Lepisosteus oculatus: one gene and its partners. The protein of the gene in region 1 interacts with the protein of each later gene in a pairwise test. Links are inferred from orthologs where the notes say so. Each region holds a gene or a part of one and is shown in the gene's direction. Other genes may lie near its edges. The genes, in order: ranbp9, mkln1 and oprm1.

What was found.
Region 2: the proteins of ranbp9 (region 1) and mkln1 interact in a two-hybrid assay, tested with the Homo sapiens proteins (2 studies listed by BioGRID). The link is inferred for Lepisosteus oculatus from reciprocal best matches to the Homo sapiens genes RANBP9 and MKLN1.
Region 3: the proteins of ranbp9 (region 1) and oprm1 interact in binary tests that used the Homo sapiens proteins (3 or more experiments, as listed by UniProt). The link is inferred for Lepisosteus oculatus from reciprocal best matches to the Homo sapiens genes RANBP9 and OPRM1.

The regions. Positions count from the first base shown.
Region 1 is NC_090701.1:20,159,565-20,166,312, forward strand, and holds the start of ranbp9 (ran-binding protein 9), read left to right. Parts: upstream 1-2,452; 5' UTR 2,453-2,774; coding exon 2,775-2,991; intron 2,992-6,748. UniProt on the Homo sapiens protein: May act as scaffolding protein, and as adapter protein to couple membrane receptors to intracellular signaling pathways. Acts as a mediator of cell spreading and actin cytoskeleton rearrangement.
Region 2 is NC_090702.1:43,870,923-43,877,670, forward strand, and holds the start of mkln1 (muskelin), read left to right. Parts: upstream 1-2,953; 5' UTR 2,954-2,991; coding exon 2,992-3,071; intron 3,072-5,701; coding exon 5,702-5,771; intron 5,772-6,748. UniProt on the Homo sapiens protein: Component of the CTLH E3 ubiquitin-protein ligase complex that selectively accepts ubiquitin from UBE2H and mediates ubiquitination and subsequent proteasomal degradation of the transcription factor HBP1.
Region 3 is NC_090712.1:1,882,663-1,889,410, forward strand, and holds the start of oprm1 (mu-type opioid receptor), read left to right. Parts: upstream 1-2,558; coding exon 2,559-2,812; intron 2,813-6,748. UniProt on the Homo sapiens protein: Receptor for endogenous opioids such as beta-endorphin and endomorphin. Receptor for natural and synthetic opioids including morphine, heroin, DAMGO, fentanyl, etorphine, buprenorphin and methadone.

The DNA.
Region 1 (6,748 bases):
AGAGTGTTTCTCAAAAAGAGCAGGGTTGTTAACCCTGGTGTCCCAGCCAAAATGTGTTTTACCAATCATGGCCTCCTAACAATCCCCATCTATGAATTGGTTTCATTACTTTGTTCTCCTCCCTAATGATAGCTGGGGAGTGTGTGGTGGGTGTTCTGTGAGTATTGTGGCTGCTGTCACATCATCCAGGTGGGGGCTACACATTGGTGGTGGTGGAGTATTTTTTGTATTATTTATTTGTAAAGGACTCACTGTATTGCAATATTTAATTTACTTTCTCATGGTAGTTCCTCCACTTTAGTCACCATAGGGCTCTGCAAAAGTCTTCATGTGAGAAATGTTTTCTGTGCACAAACAACAGCTGATAATTGTACAAGTTTACCATGACAAGTTTGTATTTTCAACCTAGTATTGTTTCCATTTCACTTACCCTATGTTTTTACTTATTGTACTTACGCATAGTACAATAACATAGATGCTAACGTTTGCTATTCATTACTGGCAAGATACCATGTTTGTGCAGAATGTCTACAGAAGAAAACTGTAGCTAAAATTTGAACTTGCTAACTTACCACAGAGTTTCAGAGAAGTTACCCAAAGCAGCACGTAATAAGATTTGTCACAAATGAGAAATGGATTAAGGGAATAATGTAAAAATTGAGAAATTAGTTCATTTTACCTTTAAACACTTCATTACAGAAAACCTCTGCAATATGATGCAAGGAATGTTATGTGTTTAAATTAATGGTTACCGTTGTAAATCTAGAAGCTGTCAAGAAGGACAAAAGGAATTTGAACACCTGATATAACATAAATGTTTATATAATAATATAATTCATATAATTCTATATAATATATAATTAATTCTCTAAAGCAGGGCTGCCACACTCAATTTCCTCAAGGCTGAAGCACCTTCTGGCTTCTGTTATAAGCCCTTACTTAGTTGATAGAATTATTTGAACATTTCTTTTTCAGCTCGGAAAGATGCAGATGTATTTTAATAAGAACAAATAAAATAGGAAAACAAAATACAGTGTTTCTCCTGTTGAGCCATCTTCATTTGCGAGTCAAAAGAAAAAGGATCAACAGCCAAAAAGTTGTATTTCTATTTTTCAGTGTGGAATTGACCTTTACTTGTTCCTTTGCAGCCAACACACACTGATGCAGTTCTCCACTTGATGTATATCATATATATACAGTGCCCCTAACACATAACTTCTGATAGGAAAGAAGGCGTGTGTGTATCATTTGTAATCCAGCAACATTTGAAAAGCTGTAAAGGACATTGGAGCAACATTGGAGTGGATCAAGAATAAAAATCTTATGTCCTCGAGTGGCTCAAAGTCCTGACCTAAACTCCATGGAAAATCTATGGTATGATTTGAAAGTTGTGGTCCACAAGCACTATCCAATAAACCTGAATGAGCTACAACCAATCTGCCAAGAGGAATGGGAGAACATCAGGTCTAATCAGTGTGCAAAGCTGTTAGACATCTACCCCAAATGACTTAAGGTGGCCTATGGTGGCTCCACCAAATATTAATGTGTGGGGTCTGAATACTTATGCAAGCAGCATAGTTCAGTTTTTGTCTCGCTTTGAGATATCTGCTGAAATTTCTAAACAAATTTGAAGTAAATTGTTTTTGAGCATGTGAGTGTGCAATAAAAATGTTGATTGAAGAAGATGTGTATTATTTGTGATCCAGCACCCTTTGAAAAGTTGTTAAGAGTCTGAATAAATTTGCAAGCCACTGTACACATACTGTACATTTTGTCGAATCTATTTAAAAATATAAAAATATATGTATGTGTACATAAATCATGCTATACCTTAAGCTGCTTGGAGTAATGGAAGGTCTGTTTATGAAAAACAATAAAACTGCATATATACATACAGTTTTGTGATATATCTAATACTGTATATTGAACTGAAACTAGTGTTGCTCTTAAACCCAGATGGTGGTCAGTGAAAACAACCTTCAATTATTTCTGTTTCTCCCTAGTGGAGATTGCAGTTGGTGTCAAATGATGTTGGTTTAAAATGCTCACCAGTTCACTCTCTAAATTTTCATTAAATTGCTAGAAGAATGTAAACTGTATCTTTAAAACTGTTGCTGTAATGTATCTCTCCCTGCTGGTTTTGGACTGGAACCTTTTGCACTGAAATTGCAACGACGGTGCTAAGTAGAAGATTTAGTGTAACCACATTTTAGTTTTCAAATCACACGCATTATACAATAGTGATATAAAATAACCTCCTCGTTATTACAACCTAATTATGATGAATTATGTGATGATGATGTTGATGACGACAAAGATTAATATTGTACTGTTAGTAAGCATTCGTTTCAATGTCACTTCTGAATTTATCAATGCACTGTAATTTAATTTGAGGAATAATAATATATTTTATTTAAATCTGCTACTTATGTCTGTTCTGCTTCTCGACTATTTTCTTCAAAAATAGGGGGGAAGGGGGGATCGCGCAGTGGAGCATTGATTAGTCGCGCCTGGCAGAGGGAGAAGTGTGTTTTTTTAGTTTGACCGGAGCTTGTGGGCTCCAATCAGATCTGGGGATCATGCACTAACAACAAACAAAAGAGCTATCTGTCCATGTCTGGTTTTAATTGTGTCCGTCAGATTATTTGCTTTGTTTTAAACTAGTAGCCCTTTTCCCTCCTTCTTGCGGCATTTAGTAAAAATTAATTTATTGTTGTAGTTGTTATTGTAGTTATTTAGTATTTTTTTAATAGACAAAAACAATCCCGATCGCCATGTCCGGGCAGTCATCGGGCTGTGGGTTTCTGATGTCGGTTGTGGTTCATGGGGACTCAGCGCTCAACGAGCAGGAAAGGGAGCTGAACCAGCGGCTCAGGCGGCTGTATCCGGCGGTGAACGAGCAGGAGACCCCGCTGCCCCGATCCTGGAGCCCCAAGGACAAGTTCAGCTACATCGGTCTCTCCCAGAACAATCTCCGGGTGCATTACAAAGGTACGGAGGGGAGGGGGGCTGCGAGAGTGACGTGTCTTCCAACAAACGTGTACTTTCCAAGCGTACCCCAGGCAAAGATTTAATACCCACCGACAAAGAAAAATGCTAATAAAAAACAAGCAATCCCCGCATCAGGAAGGGGTACAAAGACGCGGCCTCTGTAGTCTATAGCTAACAAGCCGAGACATCTTTGGTGCAGGCCTGAACAGCAACGAAATAGTGACTGCGATCGTTGTAAAATAACCCGTGTTATTTTAAATGTCACGGCAGCTTTGGCTCGTTGTTACTGTGCTATGTGTAATATATATATAAACAAAATGTGATACGACATTATTTGGTGTTATCATATATTTTTACTTTTTTTCGATCAGTTGTCGAGTGGTGATCTAAAAAAAAAACCTATAGATCGGGTTTTCCTGTTGCTCATATATTACAATGAACTCTGGGCCGTAGAGGAAAAACAAATACGGGATGGTTCTTTAGCTACCGACTACTGTACTTGCCGTAAGACGCAGAGCAAGATTGCTCAACCCAGTTTTTCAGGATTAGTTACATAAACATGAACAAAGCCAGCGAAACAGCTGGGAGAGGACTGCGCAGAGACTGTATCTAAGTTCAGATGTTCAGAAGGAGTCTGATATTTGTTCTGTTCAAAAAATATACATATGGTGTCTGCCCTAGAACACTTTATTGTCAAACCGATTATTTTTAAGCATCTTCAGTTGTCCTGCATTTGCCGCAGTTTATGAGACAGTTGGACAGGCCTGTACACATGTGTAACTACTGTTCGTTCGTAATATACACACATTTCCCGAATAGAAGGATTATCATAATACATGTGTGGTTGATCTGTTCAAAAGTGTCAAACTAGACATTGTGTTCTCATGAGAATTTATTGTCTTGCTTTTAACCAGAAAACCACAGACGATGTACTAAGTGGTTCTCAGGACGGTTTGGAGAGAGTACACACAGCAGAGCAGTGCTAAGGGTTGTACAATGAACTGTATTGTTAAGGATGTTGGGTGTTACATGAGTGTTAAGAGCTGCACTAGGCCTTGAAACAACAGGAAGAGAGACCAGAGTGTGTGAATTTTCTCATGCATAGTCCTCTGAGATGAATAAAGCTGACCAGAGTGGCTCTTATTGTTACTGTGAACACAAGAAGCAGCCTATCAATTTCACTGAGAGCACACAGATGCTATAAATAACCCCTCTTCTTATAAGTCTTCTGATTGTTAACAGGTGTTGCTTAATTTTCGTTTGTCTTTGATGTAGTTATTTTTTTCTCTAAAAAACACAGATATTCTATATTTTTTACAGACTTGGGGAGGAAGGGGTGATACTATCCCCCAAGGATTTGTGAGAATGTAGATTTTATGGCTAGGGTATCGAACTTGGGGGCTTGCTCCTTCTGTAATCCATTTGAATCCTTTAATTCGGTAATCTGTTTATTTTCTCACATTGAACATTATTCAGTTGTTTTTTTAATACTTATTTTATGCATATTTTAAAATAATACATGGCAAGGGCCAGCCTTTAATTTAATATACAGTAGCTATGAAGTGTTTTGAGACTTGAAAATATTTTTAAAAATGACTAGTTAGCAAAATACCTGGGCCATTTAAGTGATAGGAAGTACAGAAGATTCTGTGTTCCTCTGGGATTTGGACACTCATTTAATAAGGTGTTTCGTATGTACAGTATAGTAGAGGGTTGCATACTATACATGAAAAAATGATTGTCATTTTAAAATGTAGAAAACTGTATTAAAACATTTTGTGGCAAGTCTATTTAGGAAGATTGGGGAGCTGGCTTTAACAGATTGGTAAAGACAGATCCACCAATGACAGGTGTTATTCCTCTAACACAATTTTATCATTTAATTTTTGAATTTGATATGGCATGACACCAGCATGATTCAAGCATTAGACATTTAATGATTTTTTGAAAAAAGGTCTTTCAATTATTTTACTTCTGTTTTTTAACTGCTTTACAGGACTTCATTTGGACATTTTCATTAACAGGGTGTAGTTTCTTAGGGGCCAGTTTCCTTAATTTCTTTGAAAATGACGTGAAAACACGGACACATTTCATTTCTTTACATTCTACTTTAATTTGAATTAAAAAACGAATTGAACTAATTGCCTTAATTGCACAATTTAACATGAGCTCGCTACACATTTTAGTACTGAGTAGGAAGTCTGTTTGATTTTGTATTGCTTTTCAGAAGAAAAAAAACGTATGCTGTATTTTACCTTTAGGGTATGCAAAATATGCAGATGTATTTTTCTAATTTATACCAGGAAATTGGTTAATGTCAGGCTAACTTAAATATATCATTTACAGAATGTCAATGTATATATCCATGCTCTCATTGCTCTCATTGCTCTGATACATTGGTGTAAAAATGTTTTCGAAGTGTGACAATCGGAAAACTGAAAAGTGTTGAATTTCCAAATTGAAATCCACAAAAATTGGTGTAGTGTAATTGGATTTTGAATTTTGAAGTCTTGTTTGCCAGTCAGTATTCACATAGTTTAAGACTCCTCAGCATTTCACATGCTTCCCAAGTTCACCAGCTGCTAAAGCTGTGTTGGACTTTAACACTTCAGATTCCTGTCCAGGGTCTCCAAGCTCGCACATCTGTCTGCATCCTCTTGTCTGTTTTAGAAATAGCCTAATGACTGGTCATTTCATTCTTTTCCCCTTCAGGCCCGCTACTTGGTCTGTCGGTTGTATTATTTTTAATTATTTTAAGATTTGGAATGGCTGCTTATTTTTCCATTTTGCTCTCGCCCCAAGTTGGAATGGTTGTGGATCAGCTTGGCTTGGAACTCTGACCCTCGTATTCTTAACTGCATGGGAGGAGTTATGAAATGCAGGCTATGCTCCAAAACATGTGCTGTCAGAGCCACCTGCCATATTTTGCACTGAGTGCCCAGAGGACTGTTGCAGCTCTCCCTGACAACACACTCTGTACTGGCAAGCCTTAGAGTTTGCTATGGCACCTCAAGCTATGGGTGTCCTGCTCAGCTCCAGCCCTCTAATTCCCAACAGTACACAGGAGGCGTTTCTATGTAACACTTGGCTAATGACATAGTCTGGTGATGGCTGGACTATAGTGCTCAAAATGCACTGCTTTTAAAATTTGAGTGCTGTGTATAGTATCTGAAGGAGTCCTTCCATTTTCAAACCACTTTATCCAATGCAGGCAGCTGGGGCCTATCAGGGCTTGAAATTCATTTTTGAAAATTAGGGGGAATTCCCCCTTTACATGAAGCTCATGGTTGGGGGGGGGGGGATTTCAGCAGCTTGGGGGGCAATAATAGTTGACTAAGGAAACAAATGTATCGAAATAGTTCATACACGACACGAGCTTCCTAAGTTCATTGTAAATACAGGCCTAGCTTGGCAATCTGTTTTTCATTGCCAGCCACCTCTCCATTAAAGGTACAAGAACATAACTTAGGGTAAGGATGATTATTTTTTTATCCTCTACCTCATCAAGCAACCCACATATCTGCTTTTCACGCTGTCAAAGGCAGGCTTTGGTGGTATGACCATCGTGTATAAATGGCGGATTTGCGGGAATAGCTCGAATTGTGCGGCATACCCGCCACTATCCCGCGCCGAAATTCAAACCCTGGCCTATCCTGGCAAGCGACTGGCTGCGAGGCAGGATACATCCCAGATGGGATGCTGTTTCATTGGAGGGCACACACAGACAGAAACGCCCATGCTCCCGCCAGTATGTCCT
Region 2 (6,748 bases), on another chromosome or scaffold:
GTGAATTTTAAGAATGAAATTTGGTTTTCCACATTGTTGAACATGAGAGTTTTTGGTTTTCAGAACACATCAGGAAATATGGTTATTTCCCCTGTATATTGTATTATTACTTTTCAAAATTTTTCTAACGGACACTAAGAGGACTACAATATGCCCCCATTGCTATCTGTATTTCTGTTGTTGTTGGAGGAAAAAATGACCAGTCTGTATGGCTTGCCTGAATTTTTCAAACAAGCTTTTGTTTGGAACAGAGGAAAAAGATGCACATGTTTTCATACAAAGATTCACAAGACTCACACAATCAGCTTCAGGTCTTGGATCAGAAACAAATGTGTGAAAAGTTCCTGGAATTCCCTTGCTTTCCTAACAGAAACCCCCATGTAGGGAAATTCAGGCCTTGCGGACAAAAGGCTTTCTGCCTTTCTTCTGCAGATAGTATGAAACTTTCCTACAACTGATGGGTGGTATCTCACTATTTATGTTTTAGTTTCATTATTGCACCTCTGAATAAATACTGTGTACTGCTAAGCTATGGAGAAAACATGGCAAATTTGGGCAAATACCGAAATCCAGAACAGTAAGACTTTGTACTATTTTTCTACTGCTCGTTTTTGGTGCCTGTTCTGTTCTTATATTCGGGGATTTCCAAGTAAAGGAAATAGTAAGGTTAACAAGCCAACCAAAATAACAAACCGCATTAATTTCAATTCTCATAAACATGTTTACATCTATAATTGTCTTGTCTTAAAAAAAAGAAAACATACTTAGTCATACTGTTATAAAAACAGGACAGAATATCTTATCTAAGTCAATTTCTCTGTCTTAGTTACATATGATAGAAAATAGTACTAAAGAGAAACTCTGTCAAGTGTGAAGTACAAATGCAATACCCTAATATGTACTGTGCCATTGCTTGCACATTATTATTTGGTTGTATGTTTTCAAAACACTGACTAGAACTTACTGTGTTCTCTAATTAGTCACATCACAGCTTTTCATGTTCTGGAGAATGTTGGCATTTTCAGTCAGTGTGATCTTACACTGGAAAGAAAATGATTGCATGATAAACTACAACCCTAGATCATGAACTGCGAATGATGTAACCCTATGTCATTGCAGATGACAGCATTGCAGGGTATTTACAAGCATCAAAAATATGTGTGCTGTGGAAAACATTCCTTAATGCCTTTTTAGCAAATCAATGAAACAAATCATTTCTATTAACTGTAACAGGGCAATACTATAAGTTTAACCACTATATAAATGGGGCTAATGTCTATTTAAAATATTGCCATGTTACATGAATCTTAACCTTTTGTCTATATTTTAGGCCTTAGGGATAATAATGAAGAAAGGTAGCAAAATATGATTGCTTACTTACTGTAAAAGCTTCATACCTTATTGATTTTTTATCTCCCTTTTAATACAACCATAAAATTGTAGTTTTTCTTAATAACAATAGGAAGCTGTAATAAGCCTTAAATGTAGTGAAGTAATCTATATATGTAAAAACAGTCCCATCAACACTAGGAGCCATTTTTAAGCTCTCACTATAGAAAACGTCTCTGCCTTAAAGTGGGATTGTGATAAGGAAAAAAATACTTTAGGAAAAAATAATTATTTGCTTCATATTGATAGAAAATAAAAGTAAAAAAAACATATATACCTCATAATGATTTATGAGGTATAAATCATTGGACTTTTTTGTAAACATGAACTATTCCTTCATTTACTTTTAAACCTTGATACTAAAGAAAAATCTGAGCTACAGTCGCCTCTGAAGCGGCCTTCTCCTCAGGAAAGTGTCCCAGCCCTAGTGAGCCTATGGGGGAAAAACTGTCACCTGCTACCCGAGCGACTGTTGGGGCTTCATTTGGGCCTAACAGATTAAAATACACGTTGCTATTCATACCGTTGTACTATGTTTTAAATTCTTAGCACTCCACAGATGTGCTGAAAATTGTCCAGGAAGCTTAAAAAGAAAAACAATCGACTTTGATCTTACGTGCGATTCATGCTGTACTTAAATATGGGTTTGTTCTTATTCTCGATTGACAGAAGATCCTGGTACTACCCTAGTAAATAATCTTAAAAAACGGCACCGCTACCCTTAAAACGTATCTTTCCTACTTTAAAGGTTTAATGTTATCTGCTTTAATCGGGGGAGATGGGAAACGACTTTAGGCTGGCATGACAAACAAATCATGAATTTAAAAATATATATTCTTATCTCCCGCGTCCAGGATTACTGGCTACAGATTAGCCTGAAACCACAGGCTCATTTTTTTCCTTTACTTGTCAGTTAAGTGCGATCGTACTGTCGTTTCACTGACGACCCAGCATCAAGCCAGTGAAACACCACTTACTGAAATATAACTTAAAGGTGAGAGAGCATTGGTATCTTGTATATTGTAGGTCTATATAGCAAAAATGTAATCGATTTATGAAATGTACCCGTTAATTAAGAAGTTTTTCTCAATAGTGTTTGTTTAGATCGCTACTTAAATAATAAAACTGCATTTTAATTTAGAAATACCAACACGTCGGCTGCCAACTGTGAAACGAACGGTAGTGTTTTTTTCTTTCTAGTGTAGCTTGTGTGACATTTATAGAGCTATATTTATACATACTGTATTGTCGTCCAGGTCGGTACCTTTAATTCCTGACTTTCAGGTGTTTTGATCATGGTAAGTACTAATTCGGTTTACACTTGTGAACTACAAACGTGCCAAATCGCAATTGGATTCTATTCTCTAAGGATTCAACATATAAATATGTTCAAAATACTACTAATCCCCAGCACATTTTGACCAAATAAAGTTGAAAGATTAGTGAGTACAATTTACATACTGTACCACCAGCCGTGACCCTAGTTTGCCCCTAACCTTGGGTGCAGTGTCTACTGTTAGATGTTATGTCATCAAACCCAAGTCCACTGTCACTTTAAGAGCTGTCGGCCTTCCTCTCCCATCTCTGCTGTTGTTCAACAAGATGGCGGCTAATCCAGAGAACAGAGTCCTCTGCTACAGTGTTTTTAAATGGAGCTCTTACTCCTCTACGTACCTACCAGAGTGAGTAATGCTTCACACACTTACCTATTTTTTTTTCTCTTTTATGTGCAGGTATGCGCATTTACGCGAATTTTTCGTTTAGTATTTCATAGTACTGGAATCCATGGCCTAACACACACCCCTCCTGCGGAATATCCTGGCCTCTCAAATGCGTTTTTTAAAAACAAAATGCAAAACGTAAACAAACATTCTTAGATAGGTGAATGCTCGTCAAATATATTTTAAGTACGTTTTCAAACGGTTTGCTTTACTGTTTATGCAAAGGGAGATTCAGTGCATTTTGTTTTAAAAGAAAGGCGAAAATAGAATGATCTAGTTTGCCGGGGAAATAATGCACAGAGGCCTTGTTTTAAACAACAGAGTTTCGAATTGGATTATTAAACTTGGAATTTGTGCTTTTCTTACGAAGATGTAATTGAATTGTTGAACCTGCTAGGAGATGACAGGCAGTTTGGAGGCGTTCAGATAGTGTTTTTCGTCAACTTGCCCGCTTGGTAATTTGATACGACCAAGTATCAACATTGTTATTTATGTTCAACACCAGGTCAACATACAAAAATTTAAAAGATAAAATATACTCATTCTTGTACGGTGCCTTGTTTTTTTATATGTGCAAACACACAATACAGTGACTAATATGCCTTAAAAGGCTCAAAATCCATAGAAAAGTTCAATTGAAATCCAAACAAGACTTGGCTATATTAATTTTGTGATAGAGTATTTTTCTTTGTGATATTTGTCTGCATTTACAGCATTAAGTGACTGTGATATGAAGTCCTCAAAACCGTGTTGTGTTTTTTTAAAAAAGGCTCACATTTTACTGTTATGTGGATCTCTGGAGTAAATTTGTAGCCTGCCTTAGGTGGTTATCAATGCACGGTACCACAGCTTTATTTTTTCTCATATTTTTAAAGTAACTCAGTAGTAAACGTCCAAAAATTTAAATTGGTAATATAAGATAATTACAGTACTTTAAAAAGGGCACAGTAGCTTGGAGAGCTGGGTAAAGATTTAGGATACACAAACTATTACGTTTAAAGTGCTTGTCTAGATGTAAGTTGTATATTGGGGCTTTGAATAGATTGTGAACTTGGAATGTCTTGTAAATGCATCTTAAAGCACTAGGCTTGTGCATCTCACACTGTGTATTTTTAAAGAAGGAAACTGCAGAGTAAAACTAGCTGTTCTTAAGGTATAAAATTGCTGCTAGTGACATGGAAACAAATATAACTTGCCTGTTGTAGTATATTGTCTGATTATTTCTTTTAATTTTGAGGGGAAATGGTAGCTATCTATTACAGTGTGAAAACCTTAGAAAATGGCTTCTTAATCTATTTTACAAATACATTTGCCTGATTTTAGTGAGTACTGCAATAAAGCCGTCCATTTTTTCTTTGCCAAGAACTGAGAGAATTTGTGTGCTGAACTAGTGTCAGCTGACTTGTATGGTCAGGTAAATATATTGTTTTATTAATCACTAGTTGGTTTCATAGATGTTTTTTAGTGCCTATCAACTTGTACCTGAAATGTGAACAGTGATTGCAGTTTGTCTGCATTTAATCAAATTAAAATTGTATATAAAGCATAAGCTTATATATATATATGTTAGTTCTATCCATGTCTATCCTAACTGAAGTGATTTTGAAAAGTGCATCTTTATTAGTTTCAGCTTTAAAGGTGTTGTAGATCCCCTTTAGGCAGCACAGGAGAGGTTTAGTCGAATTTGTGGGGAGTTGTTTTCCTTAACTTAGGCACAGTGTTTACTGTTGACGTCAGTGGACTGTAAGTCATTAACCTTTATTCATGTCTTTGTTAGCTATGTGTCTGAGAGTCAGTTTTGAAGTTCAATACCATGTTCTTTGAACTTGTCAAGAGTTTGATGCTTGTTTAAAACGTAGGCATCTAGGGCCGCTTGTAAATAAAGTAGTTGTATATTCTCATCAATAGGTCAAAAATCAATTTCACCTGAGGAGGGAAAGCACACAATTTTTTGCCAAAATTCCTGTAGTGCTTCAGGAAAATACCACTCTTATTTGTGTGAGAAATTATGTTAAACCTGCCAAAACATTCTAGATTTACTTGGTAAAAGAGCTTTGTGTGTGGTTTGTTTATGTATTTTTTCCTTTCCAAATGCCTTGTGTCACCAGGTAGATCTAAACTACCAGTAATCCCATTATTAATAAATTATCCGCATGAGACTTTATTTGTATATGTCTTGGTCTTACAGGGTATGATTTAATGGCTAATGATTTGACCATGTGCTTCAGTATTAGACATTCTAGTGCAAACGTGTATAATTTATACAAAAAAGACATTTTGACAATCCTATAGTATGTTTAAAAGAGGGTGTACTTATTGTATCCTACACTCCCACAAATCAAAGAAAGCTTTGTTGCTGTTTAAATGTTTTTTTATGACATTTTTCATATTTTCTTGCAAATAATGACAGTTAATTGGTATTCCAGGTACTGATGATGCTAAAGATGTTGTTAGTCAGAAGCCTATGATTTTGAAGGATGAATATACATTTGTCTACAACTGAATTTTCCACCAAATACATTTGCCTGGTTTTGTAGTGAATGCTGCAATAAAGTTAAATACAGATGCTAAAATCTCACTTTTTTTTTTAGGAATATTTTGGTGGATAAACCTAACGACCAGTCTTCCAGGTGGTCCTCTGAGAGCAACTACCCCCCACAGGTACTGTAAAACGATAATAGAATGGTCTTTCAGCCCATACTGTTTGATATGTAACTTTTTAATCTGTTTAATTTTTCATCAGAGTGTACCTGTCTCTCTTTCTCCTTTCTTTGTTTTCTTGTAAAGTGCTTTGCTATGATGTCATTGAGGGTGTTAGATTACTAGGAAATAGATTACTGATGTCTTTATGCTCTGCTGTATCAGTGTTGCACTGTGTAAGGCACTCAGTTATTTGAATGCTTTTGCATTTTTTAGACCTAGTTCAAGCTATTGAGAGAGGTTTTTGTTGCAAACATTTGATTGGTTATTACTTAAATAAGAAGTCAATAAATTCAGTAAATGTCTTTAAATCCCGAGAAGCTGCAATTACTGAGCTCTTTCGTGCTTTAGTATCTTAGTGTCATAGTGCTGGCATCATCCCATGCCATTTCTCTTGTAGTTGAAGAGATAATTAAAGCCTGCTCTTTTCTCTTCACCACATTTCTTCCTCATTTCCCTGTCTGGTAAACCTCTGTTTAGTAATATTGGAAGCTTTAAAAAGGTTAAATTATGAGATTTCTAGTTTGGCTATTAAACTTCAGCAACTTGTGGTGTTTTGAAGACATGTCCTGTGGTTAAGGGCATAGGAAATCGAAAGTGGAAAATAGAGCCACTTACTGTTTAAATTAACACTCACTTTGTTCTCTTTTTTTTACCATCTTTGCCAGTGTTAGTACGATTTTATTGAATATTGTTGTTTCTTATATGGCAAAAGTGCGTAATTTATTAAAATTTTAATCCTTTGGCCAATCAAGGCTGTGATGAGTAGGAATGAAGACCTTTTTGTACCATACACGGATGTCACAAATACCTAACAGAAGTTGGTATGAATGCTTATATCTAATGCATATACCTTGTGCATGGGTTTTTTTTAATGGTTGCATGCACTGTTATTTGCTTGTGTATATAAAGCTTCGATCAATGTTCAAAATTAAAAT
Region 3 (6,748 bases), on another chromosome or scaffold:
GCATCCTGGAATTAAAGGGCTCATATGCTTGAAGTCCTTATATATTACTGCAACAGCCTTAATTTCTCTTCGCTACTGGAGATCAGGTTTCTACTGATGTTGAAGTACCTCTTGCCGATTTCCTCCCAGCCCACATGTGAGCCCAGCTCTGGTCTCTTCACTCCCCTCAGCAGAGCCCCGGCGTTGCCAATAGCACCCAGATCTCAGCGCCCTGCCAAAGCAGTGAAGAGGCCCGGCTGCTGTCCTGAAGCTGCTCGTTTGGATTCTCACTCCGAGCTCGGCTGATTTTTGGCTTGTTTGTTCTGCTCTTTCATACCAATGAATAAGCAGACTCTTCAGTACTGATAGCCTGTCTATCGCTCAGCAGGCTCACAGTAAGTAGTCCTCACTCTTTGCCAGATATGGTCTCAATTCTTGAGCTTATGAAATGGATCTTTAACCCTGGTGATACAGGAGATGTTCACTGACTACACTGTCAATACTACCACTAACAAGAATGCAGCTCATCAGCTTACAAGCTCTTTTCATAGGTAAGATGGTTTTCTCTCTTTTTCTTCCTACATGGGACCCCCTCTGGAATCCTCTTTTTTTGCCACGGTCCTTTGAGTGATTAAAAGGACAGCCCTCTTATCTCAGCTCAGCTGGGGTGTGAATGCCTTGATCAGTTCTGACTCAAGGACTTCAGCTTCAGTCTCAGGTTCGAGCCCAACTTGAATCCCATAGAAAATGGCTGTTGACGATTGCAGTCCATCAGCGATCCCCTTTAAAGAATGTGCTAGGATGACTGAACACAATTGCACCATCCAACCATGCAAAGTGATGGAGACCTACCCAAAAATACTGACAGAAATCGTTGCTGCCAAATGAGCCTTAGGTGGCAGAATACTTAACGCAATCAATACATTGCACTTTGTGTATTTACTTTGCAGGTTTTGCTGACATCTCAGTTTCTGGGGTGCTATCTGTGCAGAGTTTGCATGTTCTCCCTGTGTGCCTGTTGGTTTCCTCCAGCTGCTCTGGTTTTCTTCCACAGTCCAAAGACATGTCGGTAGGTAAACTGGCACTTGGTGTGAGCGTGTGTTTGTGTCTTTATCGTGCCCTGCCATGGAGTGGTGTCCTACCCAGGGGGTATCCCACCTTGCTCCGGCTACCCATGCAACCTTGCACTGGATGACTGGATTCGAAAATGGATGGATGATTTTGCACTTTAAAAAAAGATAAAAAGAAGTCGCAATATAACTTCAGTATTCCTTTTCCTTTGCCTTTTAAAGGTTTCAGTTTCTTTGTTTCAGATCTCGCCACAGAGTGCTCTAGACAAACATTTCCACACGTTTTATTGGGGTTCTTCTATAAATACCTTCTATAGATTTTTTTTGCAGGACTTCCTTCATCGAAAATATATAAACAATGGATCCGGTTCCAAGGAATGGCATCGGAGGGTTTAAATATTCAGAATGTTTTAATTGCGTCATCAATCACACTCCGAGACGAGCGTATTATGTGAGACATCTCAAGCCTTGTGATTTGCAAATTCTAACACAATATTGGGTAATGTAAAGGTGTTTTTGGAGGAGGATGTTAAAGTCTTAGTAACGTTAGATTTAACAATTTCTTGAAAGAATTATCAGTAACAGCCTATTAAATCCATATGAAAATAAACCCATAACAAGAACAAGCGAATTTTTACAAATGGGTGGATAAGTGCAATGAACATAGTTTCTCTCATGAGACAAAACCTAGCATTCCTATCTGAGTTCAATACTGAGGCGCAATACAACTCTACAGTATGTACAACACCAATGTAACTCTTACTGTATAAACACAAAACTGCGCTAGAACCAAAGACACACGGAATTGATTTCAGAACCTGATTAACCCCAGGTATTTTTTGTTTTTGATTTTTGTAACACGTATTAATAAATGTGATTATTATTATTATTATTATTATTATTATTATTATTATTATTATTATTATTATTATTATTAAAGGCTTCAAAAACCTACACACAAACAGGCGTCCGATTTAAAGAAGGATTATTTTTTGGCCGTGGTGGGGATGCTGTTACTGTACGTGGTGCAAAGCAGATAGCGCAGCATGATCTGCTTGGGGGCTGTTTTTTAAATCGACGTAATACAAACTCTCCAGCTGATAATCAATTCAAACCAAGATTCCTTTTTTTTAAGGCTGTCGGGTGGTCATGTGGTTTATAAAGTGACGTAACGTGGCTTGATAAAACGAGAAAACGCGACGTGAAAGTGATCGGCTTCAGCTGTACGTTACACTACGGGCTCTCCAGACGCGTGTCTACAGGATCGACAGTATTTGCAAATCAGGCGGCAGATCCAGAGAGCTGACTAGCTACAGTACCTGCCACACGTGTTGAGGCAACGGGTCCTGCGTGCAGGGGGGCACAGCGACAGTCCAAGCAGTGCCGTTTCCCGCAGAGGTACAGACAGAGAGACTCTTCGGCTGAGCTGCTCCGAGCCCGAATTGCCTGCTTGATTCGTTTATTGATCGCTTGATTGATCGATTGGTTTCCTCATCGATCGGTGCCATCATGGAGAGTGCGGGCAACGGCACGGCAGCAGGGAATCACCTTGCCTCCCCGCTGCTACAGAACGGCACGTATTTCTGCAGGAACCTCAGCGACCTGTTACTGCTGGAAGGCAACCTGTCAAAGTGTGACAGGGCGGACGCTCTGAACAAGGGCTCGACTCCCATGGTCATCGCGATAATCATCACAGCGCTCTATTCCATAGTGTGCGTCGTAGGACTGGTGGGCAACGTGCTGGTCATGTATGTCATCATCAGGTAAGGCGCTCGGAAGGTCTCTGAACCTGCGATCATGTTAGCAGCTGCGGTCAAGGTAACACTGGATTGCTATGACAACTAACCGTGAACCGCCCTTAACTCCGAGGGTTTCCATTCCTTACAAAATTACGGCTTTTTAATCCTGGAAGATAACGCACATTAGAATAAACCAAACTCATATTCGTTCTGGTTAGTGGTCATTAAAGCAAAGAAAAAATCTGTACTCGTATAGTTTATAACTGAGTTGAGTTTGATTGATATTGCAGTGCATGCGTTTATCTTAGCCTTAGTCAAAGGGACATTGAAGCACAACTTTTCGGGCTTTCTGTTCACGAACCATTAGTGCAGCGCCGGACCGGATAGACAGATGTGTACAGTAGCTGTCAAAGAAAAGGCGGCGTGCGCAATATTTACAAGAGTTAAGTCTCCCGTTCTCCTTTGCTCATGATTAAAGCATTCCAGTCCAAGTGGAGGAGTGGAAGTAGACACCGAAACGAAAGCGTTTATCTGGTCCTGCTTAAGTGCCTGAAGTTCCTGTGGGCAATTACTGGAGACACCGAGCTCGTAATAACAGTGGCCGGTATCTATGCACCTGTCTACAGCTTATGCTGATTGTGAAGGGCAGCCAGGCAGATATGAAAGATGCTTTGTAAATGCGTGTTCTGACATTATCTTGATTTGATTCTTGGGATGACTTCTCTCTGAATAAGAAATCAACTTTCTCCTGCACAAACAATAGTATGCATAGAAGAGCGTCGTGTGTTTAAGACATCAACCACTCGGGACAGCTGTATACTGTACAGTACCCCGCGTATAAACAGCCTTGGCTATTATTTCTGGAAGCAATAATAAGATCTCGTCTCGCCAGGTCGTACGCGCTACCCCCACCACCCGCATTCCTCTCCAGACTCCGGCTGCATGCAGAGTTATTTAACAGCCGTTCTTGTTGGAGACAGTTTATTAAAGTAGGTCTTGTCATTAAAACACAATCAGCCAAGTGCACTGACTGCTCCGGGAAAGTCGCAATGTAGATTTCGTCGCCAGCAATCGTAATCTTTTCAAGTTTCCAATTGCTTTAGACAAAGAATCGCGAATGATGTGATGCTATCCTTTATTTAACGGGTGAAGTTAAATACCGAGAGCCAATTCTCATTTACACAGACGATACAGCAGGTGAGATGCGGTTCCTTTACCGAGGGTACAACTGGGGCGTCCTTTCCTGAATTTGAACGCAAAACCACTATTCTATAATGAGGACAAGCTGTAGACAAACAAGACTGGGGGACTTGGGGAGAGGAGAGATGTAAGCCCGTCAGGAACAGGGCACCTGTCTGCAGTGACACAGTCATTGCTACTGCCACTAGGCAAATGACATTTGTCTCACTGTTCTTTGCCCAGCATGTTCTCACTTTTTCCCCCACTTAAGCCAGATTCAGTCAACAAAAGCCTCAAATTCAGTGTCTGAGGCTTTTATTTCTGTCCAACACCAGCCTTCCCAGGCTTGTTTTACTGGGTTAGCTGCATGATGCAACTTCACAAACACACTATATTACAAGTTGATCCTTGCATTTATTCACTACTATAACCTTCTGCTGCTTTTTAAAAAAAGAAATACACCTGTTTTCAGGAAGAAAGGAATACACTAATAAATGTTTCTTTTTATCCCCTGAAATGTTGTCCTGGATTTTGTTGGCGATGTTTGTTTTTGTTGAGTTGGACTCGGCCACAAAACAGATTTTCCCCAGGGGACAATAGAGCTTGCATTGAATACAGCCGGTCACTGGGACATTAGTGACATGGTGACATGGTGACACAGTGATATACAGTAGTGACATAGGAAATACAAAAGCCCTCCAGGTCGTTTTCATTTAGTACAGCTGAGTGCTTTTCCCCCAGAAAATATTGTTACCAGAACAGGTATAGCAAAGATTTCTTCAGCCTTATAGAAATGCACAGATCTACAAACCAGCATTTTGCTTTTTGTAAAGGATGGAACTTCAGCTTCACCCAGGACTATGTTAAGCTTCAGAGTAATCATTGTTCAATTATTCTGTGCCTGATAGTGTTTACTTTGTTTTTTCATCCTTTTCGACAGTCATCACCAAGACTAAATAACAATAATAATGATTCCTTACACTTATATAGCACTTTTCTGGACACTCCACTCAAAGTGCTTTACAGGTAATGGGGACTCTCCTCCACCACCAGTGTGCAGCCCAACCTGGATGATGCACCAGTACACTCTCCACACACCAGTTCTTAGTGGGGAGGAGAACAGAGTAATGAAGCCAGTTCATAGATGGGATTATTAGGAGGCCATTATAAGTAAGTCCCAATGGGAAATTTGGCAAAGGATACTGGGGTTACACCACTACTCTTTATGAGAAACACCCTGGGATTTTGTAATGACCACTGACAGTCAGGACCTCACTTTATTGACTCATCAGAAGGACAGTATATTGTCCCCATCACTATGCTGGGGCATTCGGACCCACACAGTCCACAGAGTGAGCGCCCCCTGCTGGCCCCACTAACACTTCTTCCAGCAGCAACCTTAGTTTTTCCCCAGGAGGTCTCCTGGTACTGACCAGGCTCACACCTGCTGAGCTTCAGTGGGCTGCCAGTTGTGAGTTGCAGGGTGATATGGCAGATGGCAAGTATTTCTTGGTCTTTTAAAAAATAGGTTTTTCCCAGTGCACTATTTTCAAATGATCTATAAGCCATAATCATTAAAAGAAGAACATGAAGTTAGAGGTTTCACAAAATCCCAAATGTTTTAGCTACGGATTTTACATGTTGACTGAAGTACTGTGAAATCCCTGATTATATTTACTCTGTAACCTCTGTCAATTAAGGAAATAATGTGGTGAGACAAGGATTTTATTTTGCTACCTTGCAGCCTGACTTCATCTGATCTTGGGAACTTGGCAATACTGGGCCTGGTGGGGACTTGGGTGGGAGACCAGTCCTGGTGGAGGTAGTGGCCCAGTAGGTGGCGCTCTTCCTTCTGGGCCAGCATTTCCAACCCAATGTCCCAGCATGGAGACAGGGGACACACCGCTGTCGGGGTACTGTCCTTCAGAAGAGACTTTAATCCAGGGGTCCCAGGGTTCTTGTCCAGGGAAAGATCCATGCAGTTGCGTTAACCCCAGCGTCCTGGCTACAGTCCTGTCAGGGCGTGTACAATCTGGCCTTCCTTAAATTCCACCTCAGCTCTGCTGGTGAAGTGATTTCTCACTCCGGCGCCAGGCCTGCTGTGCAGGGGGGCCACAGTGTGTCGGCCAGGTGGGGGAAGTGAGTCCCCACCAGGCAGTATGTAAACCACTTAGAGTGCTTCAGAATAAAAAGCATGATTTAAAGGTGATGTAAGGAATTATTAATATTGTAACTGTTACCAAGCATTTTTCTTTTAGTAGTAGGACCTGTAATTTACATTTAGGGGCCATGGTCAGGATGATTTATTAGTCTTGTATTAAACACCAGTTTTTCAGTAATTTACAGTACTCCTCCAAGCAATAGAGATCACCTTATTCTCCATAGTAAGTACAGTAATTAGTAATTATTATGGTCATCTCCTTGCTCAACAATTTTCTTCATGGAGAGGCACAATCTGGGAGGTTTTAGGGAGGTCACCCTCAAATAATTAATTAATATTACAATTAATTCGTTACACTTACAATTAATTAACAGATAATTTCTTAACACTTGGAGGTTCTGTTTTAACTACTTTAGCATGTGCTTTGTACCACTGAGCAGTTTAGAAATTTGTTTTTAATTAAATTTGCCAACAACTCTAAAATACCACAGCTGGCCATTCTTGACTTAACTTAATTACTTTAATTACTAAATCGGACAACCCTTACAGCACACGTGTTCCAAGCCTTTCCAAGGCATGAACAGCCTGCAAGACCTGCTGGGTTTGTTTTGGCTGTGCAG